3 linked regions of the Drosophila melanogaster genome follow. Changing the gene in region 1 together with any one later gene gives a genetic interaction. Each region holds a gene or a part of one and is shown in the gene's direction. Other genes may lie near its edges. The genes, in order: Hrb27C, otu and l(1)sc.

Region 1 (6,067 bases):
GTTGGCCTTCTCCGGAGTCTCAAACTCCTGGTACAGATTGTCCACCTGCTCCAGTTTCTTTTCGTCCAGCAGCTTGAAAATCGCGTAGCCCGCCGGCGTTTCGTAGAGCACAAACATCGCGTTACGCTCTGCTCATTTAGTTTCAATTTTAATTCAATTTAAAACCACCGAAACTCTCGGCAGCCAGCAGCAACTTAACCTTCTTTTCCGTATGCCGCGTGTAAAAGAAAAATCCAAAATGAAGTGCAAGCACGTGTGCCTTCGGTCTACGGCGTTGCCACTTGGTTCGCGCATAACAGCACCACTGTAATTAATTCACCACGAACGTAAAAGCGCGGGGAAAATAGCGTAGGAGGGTGTCTTGCAGCCGCCTGCTACCCTTTTGTTTACCACTTATTTTAATTTGTCTATTTCTAATCAAATCAATCAAACTTTAATATCAATATTAAATATATTAGAGGACTTCGCTAAATCATTGTCACGTAACTATTTGTAAGCTTTTGTGCAATTTACGGACAAATTCTTGTGCTCAAGAGTATAAAATATATATATTTTATATATTTATTAATCACGAAAGTGTTTACATTTTTACAATATATTAGACTTATAATAGTCTATATAATAGACTTAAAAACAAAATTCTGTTATTACTATCTGAATAGATAACTACTGTTGTCAAGCATGATTTTGTTAGACAATTGTAGAAGCTATATACTTCTCATATCGATATTAATGGGTATGCCACCCGAGCACGTGTGCGTGCTGTTATGGTACAGAACTACTTCATGCGCTGGGATTAACAGCACTCATTGCGCATAACAGCACGCTGTTAGTTTTAACAGGCGACAGAGGTGCCCAAACAAACTCAACATTTTTGCATGCGCATACACACAAGCATGCATGTATGTATGTATGCGTTTGTTTGTATGTATGCCTTTCTCTCGCCATGTTACAAAAAGCAAGAAGTTTTTGGCAACGACAATGAATGAAAAATTGAAATGGCGAATTGCAAATGCGAATTGCGCTTACCTGCGTCGCTGCCTGGCCTTCCTTTCGCGACAGTGGCGAGCGAAATGCCCCCGTCCGCCGCACTCGTAGCACTTATCGTCCCCACGACCACCGCCGCCTCGGTCGCGTCCTCCGAGTCCTCCACCACCACCGCCTCCACCACCTCCGCCACCACCACCGCCGGACCTAGCATACTTTCCGGTGGACAATTCCACACGGGCTCGGCGCCCGCAAACCGTCCGTCCGTCCAATCCGCGCACCGCATCCGCCGCATCGCGGGCACTCTCAAACTCCACGAAGGCGAAGCCCGGCGGATTGCGGGCTATCCAGACGCTGCGCAAACTGCCGTACGCTCCAAATACATACTCCAGGTCGTTCTTCCGGGCATTGTTGCCCAGATCGCCCACGTACACCTTTCTATCGCTCGGATGGCGCGACATTTCTGTTTATTTCGCTTTTCCCCGGGCCCAAATTAATGTGGCAGCAGCGCAGAAAAAAATCGATGATGGGTTGGAATCACTTGCCACCGCCTTCCTGGGCACTTTGGTCGGTCAATCGCGCACTGGCGAACACTTTTAGTCACTTAACACGGTCGGCAGATGCGAATTTTTGTGTTTATTTTCTATTTAATGCAGCGCAAAACTCATTTTACCGGGTAGCAAACAGAGTGACCGTGGACAGACCATTAAAAGAAACTGCGGACTCGCTAAAAATATACCAAAAGTTATGCTCAATCCGCGGGTAACGGTCAGCAAAAGGCGGGAGTGTCTGGCAACAATAACTTCCAGGGCCGAAAAATGAAAATCTAAATATTTCCTTTTCAACTCCTACGAAAAAAATACTCAAAATTATTTTTTCCTTTCAAAACATTCCATCCGCCTAAAGAAAGCGACTATAAAACCTTTTTTAGTATAGTACATACAAATCATATACACACATCTTATTACATTTTTCACCTTTAAGATATTATTGTACTGCACAATTACATTTTAATGTAAATAATTTATAATACATTTTTTTAACCAGTCCCCTTTAACTTCCTTTATATTTAGCCTTCGTGTTAAAAGATAGATATAAATTCGTAATTTAAATTTGTTTTCTAGTATCTGTTAGATTCAGAATATATGTGGAGTATGTTTTAGTATATTCCGTGCAACTTGAGGTATTTTTTTTGGCTGGCGGCGGTCACACAGCATTAAACGTGGCGGCGATTTATCATATAAGTTAGGTTATAATATCGTATGCATCAAAATCATACAATTATTTATAAGCTAGTTTTTTAAGGAAAAAACACTTAAATTTAGTGAATTTGCAGTGCGAAATCTTTAAAAAACCACAGACGAACACTTGGCACAAACGGTAAGAACGAAAAGCGACCGAAAATCGCATTTACATAACAATTACAGTGCTTTAACAAAATGCCTGCCTAGCCTTTCCTTTCCAAAAAAAACGCCTGAATACTTGACGCAGCTGCCATTGCTCGGTGTGCGCGTGTGTTTGTGTGTGGGGTAAAATTGGCTCGATTCGTTCGAATCGTTTCTTCGCCTTTTCGGATTTCTCGACAAACAGAGGTTTGTGCAATTTTCAGCGATTTTTCGTGCCACTTTCGGCACTCTATTTCCACCCATCAAAGTGGAAAATTTCATATTTTTATACATACATACGAAAAAATGCTATGTATAACACCACACCAACGATCACGCACACCATTGCACAGCGCTCGGCGGCCATTCGCGCACACACACGCTCTCACGCGCACACACGTACGGCCAACTCATGCACTCACACACGCCAGCAGATTGCGGTGCAAAATACAAAAATCGTGCGAAATTCGTAAAATTGCGTATTAGAAATCTTGGTTAATTTCGCTCCTATTTCTCCGGCCCGAAAGCCCAAGTGTCAAAAGTGTACCCGGCGTGAAAGTGCATTCGTGAATTAGTGAGTGCCCCATCGATTAAACCGCCTGGCTGGCCAAACAAAACGAAAAGCGTAAAAATACAGTGAAATGCGTTTGTTCCCTTTTCTAAGAACTGAGACCCAAGACATTTCTTGAGACTTCTTTGTTGTATCATTTTTCATAAGGCACGTCTTCCATTTTGTTTTTTTTTCTTCGTTGCCTTTGCCGTGGTGAATTTCCCACACACTGCCAGTGCGATTCATTCAGTTCAGTCGTGAGTACTCAGCCAGCAACAACAATAAAACATTAATCGTTTAAAGCTGGAGGAAAACTCGAAAAAGAATTGTTTGTTTTTTCTTTCGATGGAATTAACATTTATTTTGAGGGCATTGGTTTTTGGTACGTTTGCTTTTCGCTTTCCATTCGCGTTCACGTCACACATGGCGTTGCCACATGTTTTTTCACTTGTTAATGGGCAAAATGTCTGCGAAGTGCTGCCAGTAAAGAAAACGGGATTTTCTTGATAACAAAGTGAATTTAAACCCGTTGTTCATTGGCGTTTGCACAAAAATTTAAATATACTCCTGTAGATGTTTACTTGGCCCACATCTGGCTGTAATCTGTAATACCCTGGCAAATGGCGCGCAAATGTGGTGAACCGGCGACAGCTCTCTTTTCACCTTGGAAATACATAAGTTCGTTGTTCTCATTGATAGGCGGCATGTGTGCTGGTGTGTGAGTGAGGCTGGGGATTTGTTACAACAACAACAACAACAACCATTCCGCTCGTGACACAGCGAAAAGAAAACAATACTTTCACGTAGCCGTTCAAAAACGAGTGAAAGGGGATGAGAGTAGTGTTGGGGTGTCGAAGGAGGAGCAAACTTGTGAACGTGTACAAAAAGCAGTTAGACGACAAACACACATACACGTGTACGGCGGAATCTCTTCAGCTGCGTGTGTTTGTGTGTATGTGTACCGGCCGGTTGCTTCTGCCGCTTTTTTCTCTTTTTTTTTTTTGTTCCTACCTGTGCCTTTCATAATAACTATGCGTGAATTTTTTGTCATCTGACCATTTCTACCCATTCGCACCAAAGATCTTTACACAGCAAGAAATATTGTCTCCGAAGGAAATGTAAATTTAAAAAAATTTCAACCATAGCCCTGGCCTTTAATTTTAATAACGTCAGTTTGCAAATAACCAAATTAACTATTCCACCTTGTTTTTTCCTGTGTAGCAATTCGATTAACCGGATTTCTTATATTCTATGTGTATCTTTCCATGTGCCTGCAACAAAAACAAACCGACGACATCGATATTGTTACGATAGAAAGTTACGTGTGAACGTCGTGGCTTTTGTTTAATTGTTTTGAAGGAAAAAAGAACTTTGGCAACGTTGAAACCAACCTAAGATATTGCCCAAAAAGTAAGATATTGCCCAAAAGTAATTGCGGATTTTTCATATAGTCGGCGTTGACAAATTTTTTCAACGGCTTGTAACTCTGTAATTGCATTCTTTCTTTGGTCAGTTATCAGCTGTTACTTTTAGCTTCCATTAGAAAAAAAAGTGCGCGAAATTTTGTTTTTATTTGTTTGTTTGGCGTCAATTTTAATATGGAGCCCACAAAGGAGCATTTTCGTCATATCTTACTTTATTATTTCCGTAAAGGAAAAAACGCGGAGAAGGTTGCTAGAAAGTTACGAGAGATACGATGGTATGGTGATGAAGCCTTAAAAGGAAGACAGTGTCAAAATTGGTTTCGCAAATTCCGTTCTGGAGATTTTTCACTTAGAGATGAGCCACGTTCAGGCCAAATGAAGTTGATGATGACCAAATCAAAGCATTATTATTTATCGAATTAGATCGTCATGTAACTTGAGCGTGAGATAGGAGAGAAGTTAAATATACCAAAAATCAACCGTTCATTATAAAAAGTCTTGGACTGGTGAAAAAGCTTGATATTTGGGTACCACATGTATTGAAAGAAATTCATTTAACACACCGAATCAACGCTTGTGATAAGCACCTTAAACGCAATGAATTCGATCCGTTTCACTTCAATGGCTGATATCCACCAAAAGAAGGTTATGCTGTCTGTTTGGTGGTATTGGAAGGGTGTCGTATATTTTTAGCTGCTTCCAAGGAACCAAACGATTAATTCGGATGTTCGCCAGAAAGATGGCAAAAGATTATCGAACAATATATTTGATTAAAGTTCATTCGAAGTTTTATTAAAAATGCATTTACTTTCATTTACAAAATCCGCAATTACTTTTTGGACAACCCATACATAAAATACATACAAACATAAATACATAAAAAAAAACACAAAAAAAAAATACCAGCAGCAGTGTAAAAATTGTATATTCTCCCCCAAAACAGGCAACCAACCGAACACAAGTTAATTTCTTTGCACCCCGTGTTAATAAAAAAGCGGCAAGATTACGTCAATTATTGAGAACCTACCCGGCGCCATAGCTCACAACCACAACCAAAACAACATCATGGAGGAAGACGAGAGGGGCAAACTTTTTGTGGGCGGTCTATCCTGGGAGACGACGCAGGAGAACCTGTCGCGCTACTTCTGCCGCTTCGGGGACATCATTGACTGTGTGGTGATGAAGAACAACGAGAGCGGCAGGTCGCGCGGCTTTGGCTTCGTTACCTTCGCCGATCCCACCAACGTCAACCACGTGCTGCAGAACGGACCGCACACGCTCGACGGTCGCACCATCGACCCCAAGCCGTGCAATCCGCGCACTCTGCAGAAACCGAAGAAGGGCGGCGGCTACAAGGTCTTCCTGGGTGGCCTGCCCTCGAACGTCACCGAGACCGATCTGCGGACCTTCTTTAACCGCTACGGCAAGGTCACCGAGGTGGTTATCATGTACGACCAGGAGAAGAAGAAGTCCCGCGGCTTCGGCTTTCTCTCCTTCGAGGAGGAGTCCTCCGTTGAGCACGTGACCAACGAGCGGTACATCAATCTGAATGGCAAGCAGGTATGTGATCGCTGGAAAGTTGTGCTATACTTACAAAACATAATTACCTATTTCTGCGAAGCATCTAGTCTTGCAAAACTATAAATTGTGAATATGGAATATTCATAATTTTTTTCGATTTACTAAACTTTGTTTCATATAATACAAGAGTGCTATTTGTA
Region 2 (8,242 bases), on another chromosome or scaffold:
AAGGCAGCATTACACTGTAGGGTTCGAGCACCCTGATATTTTTAATGAAATCACTTGAAAGATTTTTCGATACTGAATTTGTCAAGCTATTTATAAAAGAACAACAACGAACTGTGTATTACTGCCCTATTAATATATTTGCGCTTTGCAAACCAGGCACTTCGCAGACAGATGGGTGTTCCTAATAGTTGCGTCCACGACTGTGTGCGGTTCGCTAGAGTGAAGCTAATAAAATAACCGGTTCGTGGCAGCCAAACAAAAAAAAAGAAGATATTTCTCATGCACAATTCACTTTTTTATTTGGCAAATGTTGCTTCGGATTCTCTTGGCAAGCGAAATTCTCTTTGTTTTGTTTGGACTGTATGCTTTACCTCTTACTTCCCCTTTTTATTTCAGCAAAGACGCGACGAGCTAAAATGTTCGAAGGCAACTAAAAGCAGCAAACGGAAATTCTTAGCCGCCGACCGGCAAACAATCGCATCAGAAAAAAAAAACAACAAAAGCAGAGAAGACAACTTTCGAGATGTTCCCAAATTCAGAAACTCACTGTGCTATTTCAAAGATGGTTGGTATTGTTTGTATTTCTACACCATCAAACATTTCATTTCGCATATTTGTGAAATTACGTTAATATAATATTATCACACAGCACAAGATTTTGAAACCACTTATAAAAACAACATTTAGATGTTATAAAATACCATGCAATATCAGATATAAAGCTTTAAAGACCTTTATATTTTGGAAAACAAAGTGATGGTTTTTCGAAAACAGGAACGTCGATTTTTATCACATGAAGAGTTTAAGTCGTTAATTCGTGTTTGAGGGACACATGTCAAGAACCGCGAGCAAGCGAGATGGAGCTAATGGAGCACTTATCTGGGAGCCCGACGAGTCCGGTTCAAGAGACCTATATTTTTGTATTTTCTTTATTTTGTTTTTGGTGATAAGATAGTTGCGGGAACAGGATAGTTGTATAATCGGTATATTGATAAGACGACCGACAATATATTGGCCGAATCATTTAATCAATTAATTGCTGACAAAAACGAACCAAAGTTCGAAGGTCAGCAGACGGCATTGCAGAAATGTCCGTGACATTGACCTCGGCACCTGGAAAATGAAATACCACCCAAAAAAAAAGAACATCATATCTATGTCACCATTTGACCCAGTTAATCGAAAATCGTGGAATTAACGAAAAGGAATCAAAGAAATATTATTTCGTTGGGCCGTGTGTGGGAAAGAGAGGTGGCGCAAACAAGGCGAGAGAGAGACGGGGCGAACACGCGTTCAACAAACTTGATTAACGGTTTATCGATTTGCCATCGCACTCGCACAAGCACGTGCTTTGTTTGTCGCTCCTATTGATTTTTACGGCATTGCTTGGATATGAAATAACCGCACATTTCTACTTCTTCCTTTTGTGCACTCCTTCCAATTTCATAACGTTGTTTATTTGCATGTGTGTATCGCATGTACAAATGTCCATTGTTGTGTGTGGTTGAGTCCACGTGTGTTGTTTTTGTTAATGACTGTGATTTTCATATGTAAAACTCTTTGTTATTATTATTCGATGGAAGGAGGAGGAAAACGAAACAGATGAACATGGCGTAAAGTTGATGAAACACCGAGAGGAAATAGAATTCATAGTCGTTGCGTTTTGCACACTCGCAAGATAACCAACTAACGACATTTACTAACAATAAACAAAAACATAACTTTACACGAGAACACAAAAAACACAAAAAAAAAACAGGAAAACAAAAGGCACACACAGTCACACACTCACATCTCTTCCAGACAACTTTTGTCGCGGTAACAGCGCGAACTGAAAGTTTGCTCCTGGCTTCATTGACTCGCAATTTCGAACTGAGTCTGATGAACAAGAACAACAGTGCGCCGTGTGGAAAGCGGCATTTTCCACCCCCTAAAAAGCGGGCCAGCAACAACAGCAACGACAGTAACAAGAACAATTTGAAGGTAACAGAAACTTTTGGGGATGACACGGAACAGATGATGCCGCTATCGGTGTCATCGATAGACGGCGATAACAGGAGTTTTTTAACCGCTCAGCAATATATTTCAAGTATATCATACACTTGTGTATTTCATTTAGAAAGTATTCAACAAGATCAGATATATTTATTTTGTTGATAAAATCACGAACCAACTCCATTGATTCATTTCCGCACATCACTATTGCCCAATTTCGTTTGTCGGCATCCTTCCAGGCACTGGAAGTTCGTTCTTATACTTTTCGTTCGCATTCTAGTTCGCGGGTTCTCTGAAAGGCTAGATCGCGCCATTCGCTTCAATTCTTCGTGTAACGGTGCTAGGTGCGGATGCCAGTGTTATTTTTAATTGTTAATTTAATTGTTAACTATTTATAAAAATAGAATTTGTACAACAGAAGACGAACAGCAGAACACCGGTAATATCTCGATTCGATTTTAACTGTATTAGTTGAAACATTTATAGTAACGGTAATTTGTCAAGTGACGAAATTAACTAATTAAGCGCAGCATGAGAGGCTTTTAAATCATTAAATTTTAAACAAATATTTAATTTTCATCAGCTTCATCACATTTAATTTTGCTCTTTTGCTTCATTTGCCTTTCTACTGCGCCATCTTGAATTCGCAGGTGCATATTGTCATCTCGCTCTGAAGCCCGGCTTGTATGGAGTCGGTTAATAATTGGAATATATTTGTATTGCAGCAAATTTGCTTTAAAACTATTAAAGTTAAAAAAACTATACAATAGTTAACATAAAATAAGTAATAAAGCTTAGTATGCGCACTTCTTAGTGAAACGACAATAGATAGCAGTTGAAAAGTGATTGTGAAGGTCAAATAGATCGAGGTCAGGGCCCTCTTCTAACTGTTAATTGTGCAATACTTGTATTTCAAAGGGAAAACATGACAAAAAAAAAATGAAATGAATAAAATTTAAGTTTCTCGATTCCAGAGTCGCCATGGACATGCAAGTGCAGCGCCCCATTACGTCAGGCAGCCGGCAGGCCCCGGATCCGTATGATCAGTATCTGGAGAGCCGTGGACTCTACCGTAAGCACACGGCCCGGGACGCCTCCAGTTTGTTCCGTGTGATCGCCGAGCAGATGTACGACACCCAGATGCTGCACTACGAGATTCGGCTAGAGTGCGTCCGCTTCATGACCCTAAAACGACGCATCTTTGAGAAGGTAGGCCTCTAACAATCACACATTTTGTAAAAAAAAAAGAAATAATTTTATTTATATCCCAGGAAATTCCTGGCGATTTCGATAGCTACATGCAGGACATGTCCAAGCCCAAGACATATGGAACCATGACAGAACTACGCGCTATGTCCTGCCTATATCGGTAATTAATCCTTAGTTACTATTTTCTATTAAATTCTACAAATATATATGATTTCTGTACGACTTCCAGCCGCAATGTTATCCTGTATGAGCCCTACAACATGGGCACCAGCGTCGTTTTTAATCGTCGCTATGCGGAAAACTTCCGTGTCTTCTTCAACAATGAGAATCACTTTGATTCGGTTTATGACGTTGAATATATAGAAAGAGCCGCCATTTGTCAATGTACGTAGCCTATTAATATATCCAATTTTGCTTTTTGTATATGTACGTTGCTTTCAGCAATCGCCTTTAAGTTGCTGTACCAGAAGCTTTTCAAATTGCCTGACGTATCCTTTGCTGTGGAGATTATGTTGCATCCACACACCTTCAATTGGGATCGCTTCAATGTGGAGTTCGATGACAAGGGCTATATGGTTCGCATTCATTGCACCGATGGACGAGTTTTTAAGCTTGATCTGCCAGGGGACACAAACTGCATACTGGAAAACTATAAGCTGTGCAATTTCCATAGCACCAATGGAAATCAGAGCATTAATGCTCGAAAGGGAGGCCGGCTGGAGATTAAAAACCAGGAGGAGCGAAAGGCATCCGGCAGCAGTGGCCACGAACCAAACGATCTGTTGCCCATGTGTCCAAACCGATTGGAGTCCTGTGTCCGCCAGCTGCTAGATGATGGTCAGTAGAGGTGGTTTCAAACATCAAATGCTTACATAATACTCTCTTTTTAGGTATCTCTCCGTTTCCCTACAAAGTGGCCAAGTCCATGGACCCCTATATGTATCGTAATATAGAATTTGATTGCTGGAACGATATGCGCAAGGAGGCCAAGCTTTATAATGTCTACATAAATGACTATAACTTTAAGGTAAACTGTGCAGAACATTGGATTATCGTTAGCACACATACACACGCACACCAACACACGTTTCATGTCAACCACCCATCCAAATTAACACCCTTTCATTTTCATCTATACACTGGATACACCTTATACTTTACTATACATGTATGTCTTGCCTTATCCTTCCTCGTCTCGTCGCCGTGTTATTTGTTTTCCAGGTGGGCGCCAAGTGCAAGGTGGAATTGCCGAACGAAACGGAGATGTACACGTGCCACGTTCAAAATATCTCCAAAGATAAGAATTACTGCCACGTCTTTGTTGAGAGGATTGGCAAAGAGATAGTGGTACCTCTTCTTTTTATCTGATTTTCTAGACCCTTGCAGAGAAATGCAAAAATTTCGATTAGAAACGATTATCATATTTAACAATTAGTTAAATTTGTTAAAGTTTAGTTAAAAGTATATTAATTGTGGCCCAATGAACTGGTATATAAGTCTATAAAATAATTGATCTGCAAGGGCTAAAAATGTTCGGTATCCGAAGCTAATTGTAACTATTTCGCTTTAATAGAGAGCTTACTAATATACAAACATATCTGTTGGCTTAGGTCCCGTATGAATCGCTCCATCCCCTGCCGCCAGATGAGTACCGCCCATGGTCGTTGCCATTCCGCTATCATCGCCAGATGCCTCGCTTGCCGTTGCCCAAGTATGCCGGTAAGGCCAACAAGTCTTCCAAATGGAAGAAGAACAAGCTGTTCGAAATGGACCAGTATTTTGAGCACAGCAAGTGTGATTTGATGCCCTACATGCCCGTGGACAATTGCTATCAGGGTGTGCACATTCAGGACGATGAGCAGCGGGATCATAATGATCCTGAACAAAATGACCAGAACCCGACTACGGAGCAGCGGGATCGTGAAGAACCGCAGGCACAGAAGCAACACCAGCGCACGAAGGCATCAAGGGTTCAGCCGCAGAACTCGAGTTCCAGCCAAAACCAGGAGGTTTCGGGTTCGGCTGCCCCGCCACCCACTCAGTATATGAATTACGTGCCAATGATACCGAGTCGTCCTGGGCATTTACCGCCACCTTGGCCTGCATCTCCGATGGCTATTGCCGAGGAGTTTCCGTTCCCCATTTCAGGAACCCCGCATCCACCGCCAACCGAAGGTTGTGTATACATGCCATTCGGTGGTTATGGTCCACCACCACCGGGAGCTGTTGCTTTATCGGGACCGCATCCATTTATGCCGCTTCCTTCTCCACCGCTAAATGTTACCGGAATTGGCGAGCCACGTCGTTCTCTACACCCAAACGGTGAAGATTTGCCCGTGGATATGGTGACTTTGAGATACTTCTACAACATGGGCGTGGATTTGCATTGGCGCATGTCGCACCACACGCCGCCTGATGAACTAGGAATGTTTGGATACCATCAGCAGAACAACACTGATCAACAGGCAGGACGGACTGTAGTCATTGGCGCCACAGAGGACAATTTGACTGCCGTGGAGTCAACACCACCACCTTCGCCAGAGGTGGCAAATGCCACAGAGCAGTCACCGCTTGAGAAAAGTGCCTACGCCAAGCGCAATTTGAATTCGGTTAAGGTGCGCGGCAAACGTCCGGAGCAGCTGCAAGATATTAAGGATTCGCTGGGGCCAGCGGCATTTTTGCCCACTCCAACGCCATCGCCAAGCTCGAATGGCAGTCAGTTTAGTTTCTATACTACTCCATCGCCGCATCATCACCTGATAACACCGCCGAGGTTGCTCCAACCGCCGCCACCGCCACCGATATTCTACCACAAGGCGGGACCACCACAGCTAGGGGGAGCAGCTCAAGGACAGGTAGGAGTGATACATGCACTAACAAATTCAAAATATTCTATAGGCAATCGACACTCGACCATTTTTAGACTCCCTACGCCTGGGGCATGCCAGCTCCGGTGGTGTCCCCCTATGAGGTGATCAACAACTATAACATGGACCCGTCGGCTCAGCCACAACAACAGCAGCCAGCCACCTTGCAACCAGCTCCCTTATCTGTCCAATCTCAGCCGGCAGCTGTCTATGCTGCAACGCGTCATCACTAAACAAAGAAAGAAAAAAAAAAGGGAGCGGGGGCAAAAAACAGATCACTTGAAAGAGAGAGGCCATACAGATCGAAGGCATTACATTCCATTGCAATTAACGGCTTTTAAAATTTAATCTCACTTTTAAATTTGTAGTTAACTTTTTATAGGCCATAAGCGTTGGCGCTCTATCATAAACCATTCAGCTTCTGTACAACAATCGATTGCATAACCTAACGCAAATGTCAACCCAACTTCATTTTAAAAATGTAATTTAACGTAATTTTATGCGAATTTTTTTAAAGTTAGCCGTCACGAAATCAAAGAACCACCTATTTATATGATTTATTTAAAACCCTTCTAACCAAAAATATCTACATACTATCTACTATATATATACATATATATATATATATATATTTATGTGCTCGCTGTTCGGCTAGAGACTCACCTATGTAAAGTGTACCATCAAAAATTAACCATAAATAAAACAAGATTCAACTGCAGCGCAAGAGACAAAATGTACAAAAGACTTTTGCAGGTGCTGCAATTACGTGGTATTCTCGTGTTTCGGCGCGATTTCAGATAGCAAACAAAAGGTGTGGATTGGCTTGGATTACTTTGATTCACCTCGTCACATCACATCGACGCTGATCTTCGAAACGATAAAGAACTCTGATGTAATCCTTTAGTTTCATTGTAAAAGTTTGTTATTATTGTATGTACTGTCTTTATTTGTGTCATAATTTGTTTGTCTATGTTAGTTTTAGAAAACGCTGTTATTTTTGATAAGCAGATAGTTTTTTAATGCATGGGTTTATATTGTAGCATATTACATCAAATTAGTGCATACTAACTAAGAAAAAAAAAACAACAAAAAGTATTTACAACTAAGAAAATTAGATATTAGAAAATTTATAAGGTTCATTAGTTCAATCAATCACGATTACTTTAGTATGTAGTACATTGAAAATGTTTTGAGCTGTCAACATTATCCTGCTAAAACTAACCCATGTTAAAACCATCCAGAATGCTGAAGATAAGTTGAGTTAAGGAGTGCAACGCCTCCATACTGGTTTCCGTTGTCCGTTTAGATAAGGGCTAGTTGGAATAAATTATGAAAATAAGTATCTTAAACAAAAATTACAAAATATGCTAAAGTACTAAAGAACTTGGAAGCTAATAATACGATGGTATCACAGAAATCTTTGTACATAAGTTTAATATTTCAATTCACCAACGTACCTGTATGGTTTGTTTAATTTGAATCGGCCAATAAGCAATATATGTCTCTGTAACAATTTCGGTTATAAGGACTTTCTGTGATACCCTGGACAAAATTTGTTATAGGTATTATTTGTTGTTATTCTATGGTTAACATATCAGTCATTGTTAAAACAATACTAACTTGTCCAGAACAGTAGGCGATTATTGCGAAACACAAACCCATTACAAGGAAGCATAAGTGACTCATTTCGCCTCTGTTGTTGGTTATTTGGTTTTGTTTTTTTTTTTTTTATCACCGAAAAGTGTTCGCAAAAAAAAATATTTGAACTTGAAACCGATTTGTTTTGGCTCGCTTTAATAATTCTGTTTAGTTGGTTATTTTATTAATGCTCTCAATTTATTTCTGCTTACAGACTGAAATCTCTGTGCAAAGGTATCGCATTTTTATGCTGAATTTTCAAACTGCCAAATGGGCGGCACTGGGCGACCTAAATTGCGATTCCACCTGTCATCAGCCGAGCTCTTCTTTGCCTTACCTATCATTATAGCCGATTTTGCCGCCCGTTTGTTATTGAACAATTGCGTGGGATGCCATTGGCATAACGCACAACAATGGGGAAGGACAACCAAACGATGTGTGTAATGACAGCCTGCGTTTCGGATTTATTGTATTTATTATATGCGACACTTGTTGCTGCGAATAAAGTTGCGGGTAAGTCAGTTCTCCCATCA
Region 3 (4,758 bases), on another chromosome or scaffold:
TAAGAATACAGCAAATAAATAATTTAACAATATTCATTTGCTGTATGTGACATATACTGAACATGTAAAAGCATAGACTAGACCTCATATAAAAACAATTAACATTATTTTTATCATGTATGTTTTTGTCAACTTCATTTTGTCGGCTACTTTTCTAATTAGAATCCCCTTGAGAAACCTTTGGACAATAGAGGTCGCTGTACAGCAACTTATTGGAAGATTGAAACTATATAGAGACCGCCACTTTATGGTACACTAGCTGATTGGAAACCTGGGAAACCATGAACCTGACAACCCTGGCCAGTTGTTCACTATTTTATATTTACTGCGTCCCCCAAAAACGAAACTGGGATCAACACTATTCTGATCTCATGCGGATTAATTAATCACTGAACATTATAGGGCATGGTGTCCGAGGCTTATGAAATTGAAACCAAAACCTTTTTTACTTTCCTATTTTTTGGTGGGTGTGTTTGGAGCATATTAAAAGAGTATTTGAAAAGGGTTTGCTTCGAACCAAGAGAAATACAAAGGTGATGACGCAAAGATTTTTATTCTAGATATTATAAATGCATTAGAAAACGAATTCGGTAGCAACTTTTAAAAACCAATTATTAGGTAAATGGTGTTTTTTTTTTTTTTTTTTTTTTGCTTTATTATGATTTTCAGCGTTCATTCTTGTGGGATCAATTTCCTCTAATTTTCTGATCTCCTTTAGGGCAGCTGCTTATGGCTTTTTTTAAGATTTTATGCATTTATGGGAGCAATCTCGTAACTCGACTTATCCGTCTTCGGTAACGGTATTGCCTTCCCATTGCAACAAAGTTGCAAGTTGCGAATCCAGAAATTTGTTTCAGATTCAGCTCCTTACAGATTTATGAATGCTTAATTTAATTGCAGGGGGATTGTTGGTAAACGGAATAACTTTACTTTCTTGGACTGGGCATAATAAGTCACAACCCTACAGCAAGCAGCAAATAAATAAAGACATAACATTTTTTAAAGCTTTTTGAAATACTAATTTGCTAGTCAAATAACATTTAAAGACCTTTTTTAATGCTTTTCGACATACTAATTTGATAATTTAGAACTAAACCTGATTATGAGTGATGTCTTGATATTAAAGCAACACAAATGCTTCATGCTTTAAAATCAAAACTGCCATTCGATTTTTAGAAGTATTCCACGAAATAATTATCTTTAAAAGAAAATATTTATTCAATAATGCAACACTATCAAAATATTTTCCCAAAAAAATATTTTAAATTGCATCGTAGCCTTAATACGATTTAATGAGTTATGCAAATTAATTGAATTCAGTTTTTGTTTGTTCATACAAGACATATATTAACCAGTCAGAAATATTACATTTTTTGTCGAGTGCACAGCCCAAATTTAGATCGCTTTCTTGTATCACAAGCGTTTGATGAAAGGGTAAGAGTGTTTCGACTGCAACTTTGATCCCAACTGCTGTCAATATTCAATGCCTTTGTGATGGTTTCGTTTTTATTTGTCTGGCCGTCCCCTTACTTATTATAGTACGCTTGGTATTCATGATACAGCACACACTTGTGGGATTTTGTCTGCGCCGCTCTGCGATGTTATGTATCATTGTTTTGAAGCTTATGCTAATGCACCGGACTGATCGGAAGCACGTGTCAAATGCAGATGGGTCAGAAAAAATATTAATGAAGGTTCATAACATTACAGGATATAAAAGTGGATACGCAGTTTTAAAGACAGTGAAAGTCCCACGACATGGTCTTTTAAGTTTGTTTCTTTTGCCTTCGCATCATTTTCTTTCATTTGATGGATCACATTTTATATCAAATTCCCTTCCAAGATCTCACTCTCCTTTATTTTTCGCTTTCAATGCAAACGACATTCGACAAAAGTGGAAGTGCATTCAAAATCTTTTTTTTTAGCCATGACAAGGATCTTGCAGATCTGAGATTTAAAATTTTCCCAAAAGGAAAAAATGCATTATGTAGACGGACACAAAGGACAAAGAGTGTGTGGGAGAGGGAAAAGGATGGGTAGGTAGGCACACAGAGACTGAGTAGGAATAGAGGCACCCACCACAGAAAAAGAACCCCTAGAAAGAGAGGAAAAATGTACGATCACTTGTGCAAAGGACTTAGGTCCCGGTTTTTCGAGGGCAGGTAGCCAGGATCCGACCCCGTACCAACCCCTGTAGCTCCTCTGCCGAAGTCGCTGCCTCTGTCGCGGCGCGTTTCCCTCTGCCACTGCCGGGTATTTAAAGCCCTAGATCAGAACAGCAATTATCATTGCGGAATCTGATTCCACACAGTCAACATCTGTAAACTAAATCTTAGAAAACTCTCGCAAGGATTACCATGACGAGCATTTGCAGCAGCAAATTCCAGCAGCAGCATTACCAGCTGACCAACAGTAACATTTTCTTGCTGCAACATCAGCATCACCATCAAACGCAGCAGCACCAGTTGATTGCTCCGAAAATACCTTTGGGTACCAGCCAACTGCAGAATATGCAGCAGAGTCAACAGTCCAATGTTGGACCCATGTTGTCCTCCCAGAAGAAGAAGTTCAACTACAATAACATGCCCTATGGCGAGCAATTGCCATCGGTAGCCAGACGAAATGCCCGTGAACGCAATCGCGTGAAGCAGGTGAACAATGGATTCGTCAATCTCCGCCAGCATTTGCCTCAAACTGTGGTAAACTCGCTGTCCAATGGAGGACGTGGTAGCAGCAAGAAGTTATCCAAGGTGGACACACTGCGAATCGCCGTTGAATATATTCGAGGACTACAGGACATGCTTGATGATGGCACTGCTTCATCAACTCGTCACATCTACAATTCCGCCGATGAAAGTAGCAACGATGGCAGCAGCTATAACGATTACAACGATAGTTTGGACAGTTCGCAACAGTTCTTGACGGGAGCCACCCAGTCTGCCCAATCCCACTCGTACCACTCCGCCTCGCCCACGCCGTCGTACTCCGGATCCGAGATTTCCGGAGGTGGCTATATCAAACAGGAACTACAAGAGCAGGACCTCAAATTCGACTCCTTTGATAGCTTCAGTGACGAGCAGCCAGATGACGAGGAGCTACTCGATTATATTTCATCTTGGCAAGAGCAGTGAAGGGGTCTTACTAAAAGTCCCAAACAAACAAATATTGTACAAACTGTAAATACCCTAAATTGTTGCCTTAGTGAGTGTAAAACCAAGTCTCAAATTTCACATTAGCCTCTAAGTTACCCCATATTTTTTTTTATTATATTTTAACGCAATGGAAGACATATTTTTTTCATAGTTATAAGTTTGTTATAAGCATGGAAGACACTAAACTAACTACTTTTAAGCCAAAATAAAAACATATTGATAAATTTAATTCCAAATGTTTTTTACTGAAATCACTTACTCGTAAATATATTCAGATCGTCATGTAGGGTAATTACAACGAGTTCTCGTTCTCATACCAGCATCAGAGCCAAAAAGGTTTTTAAACAATCTGCATTTTGAAGCATTGCTTTGACTATATATATGTTATGATATTCGTTTTTAATTTATGTATTTTTATATTATTATTATTATTTTTTAGCTTAGCTGTTTTGGCCTCAGGCTTAATAATGGTACTAGCGATAGAAATAATAATTTCACAAAAAAGTTACCCAATTTATTATTTATATTCAATTACTTTTGGAGCGTGGACATGACTCACTCAAAATTCGTAACCAACATAGAGTTAAGCACCTGACAGGAAACAACAGCGAATATTTTCATGATTGGTTCCCTAACGAGCTACAATTCGGCCGGGAATTGTTAATGGCGCGTAAATAGCCCGGAAATAGGCAGTCACGCCTGAGAGGATGAAATTGTCCTAGTCCAAGGATCAGTACTTGAAGACTCGCACAATCCACGTGGCTGGCGCACACCGCCACAAAGTTTTTCATCAAGCTGGACGACGTCGGCGAGCCGTGAAATGCACTTCCGCTAACCCCGTAGCTAAAAATTGGAAAGTAAACCCACCCCAAGGGTGAAATATTAGGGCCATTAAATGAATATGCAGGAATGTCATCTAGGCAGGAGATGCCACACCCATTATTTAGCATACAATATGCAAATTGCCAATTGCGCTGGACACGTGCGTAGGGAAACGGCATTCAACTTGGACTGAGTTTACCAAAGGAGGATGTGATAAGAACAGAACTCTAAATAAAACAGGAAGCGGTGCAATACCGCCAAAAACTCAAAGATGTTCCTCAAAAAAAAAAAAAAAAAAAACGGAAGAGAAAAACGAAGGTAGTGGACGAGGACAATGGCAAATGTAATTGGATGTCAGCTTAAGATAAATCCAGAAAACAAGACCAAGACGAAGTAGAGTGAAACTCTCTTGTGGTCCATTGTTGCCGGATATAAAAAGAAGCTTAAAGCGGAAACAGGATTGTGAATTCAGGACCTGCCAGGATAAGGATCCGATATAGGTGTCCAAATACAAGGCTAAGCTACAAGTGTCCTTTAACAGGCTATACTCCGATTTTCATGCAATGTTAGGTCACTGCACAAAAAGATATCTTTTTCGCTTACTGATCCTCGAATTTCCCTCTGGGTTCAATCTCATATGACAGGGATCACTGAACTTCTGCAATAAATTTGTTTCCTAAGCCTCTCAGACCCAGGAAGTAACTTATTTTAGTCCTTGCTGCAGGAAGTGTGTATTTGCTTAGCATTTTCGGCCGGACAGAAAAGTCTATGGGCTTGGTAGTTT

Evidence for each region.
Region 2: of Hrb27C (region 1) and otu, changing one suppresses a phenotype caused by changing the other (phenotypic suppression), as found in Drosophila melanogaster (one study listed by BioGRID).
Region 3: of Hrb27C (region 1) and l(1)sc, changing one enhances a phenotype caused by changing the other (phenotypic enhancement), as found in Drosophila melanogaster (one study listed by BioGRID).

What each region holds. Positions count from the first base shown.
Region 1 is NT_033779.5:6,918,495-6,924,561, forward strand, and holds the start of Hrb27C (heterogeneous nuclear ribonucleoprotein at 27C), read left to right. Parts: upstream 1-2,209; 5' UTR 2,210-2,367; intron 2,368-2,471; exon of another isoform or gene 2,472-2,579; intron 2,580-2,765; exon of another isoform or gene 2,766-2,946; intron 2,947-3,144; exon of another isoform or gene 3,145-3,304; intron 3,305-4,236; exon of another isoform or gene 4,237-4,240; 5' UTR 4,241-4,332; intron 4,333-5,289; 5' UTR 5,290-5,411; coding exon 5,412-5,906; intron 5,907-6,067. Other genes in the region: x16 splicing factor, read right to left, coding at 1,030-1,448; nop5, read right to left, coding at 1-117. UniProt on the Drosophila melanogaster protein: This protein is a component of ribonucleosomes. Could be needed to organize a concentration gradient of a dorsalizing morphogen (Dm) originating in the germinal vesicle.
Region 2 is NC_004354.4:8,483,566-8,491,807, reverse strand, and holds otu (ovarian tumor), read left to right. Parts: upstream 1-2,272; 5' UTR 2,273-2,434; exon of another isoform or gene 2,435-2,460; intron 2,461-2,685; exon of another isoform or gene 2,686-2,864; intron 2,865-2,955; 5' UTR 2,956-2,976; coding exon 2,977-3,204; intron 3,205-3,266; coding exon 3,267-3,364; intron 3,365-3,433; coding exon 3,434-3,588; intron 3,589-3,645; coding exon 3,646-4,041; intron 4,042-4,094; coding exon 4,095-4,231; intron 4,232-4,425; coding exon 4,426-4,551; intron 4,552-4,814; coding exon 4,815-6,059; intron 6,060-6,127; coding exon 6,128-6,304; 3' UTR 6,305-6,800; downstream 6,801-8,242. UniProt on the Drosophila melanogaster protein: Catalytic component of a deubiquitinase complex consisting of bam and otu. The complex deubiquitinates K63-linked polyubiquitinated proteins; this antagonizes the ubiquitination activity of Traf6 and regulates the IMD immune signaling pathway.
Region 3 is NC_004354.4:407,439-412,196, forward strand, and holds l(1)sc (lethal of scute), read left to right. Parts: upstream 1-2,282; 5' UTR 2,283-2,357; coding exon 2,358-3,131; 3' UTR 3,132-3,379; downstream 3,380-4,758. UniProt on the Drosophila melanogaster protein: AS-C proteins are involved in the determination of the neuronal precursors in the peripheral nervous system and the central nervous system.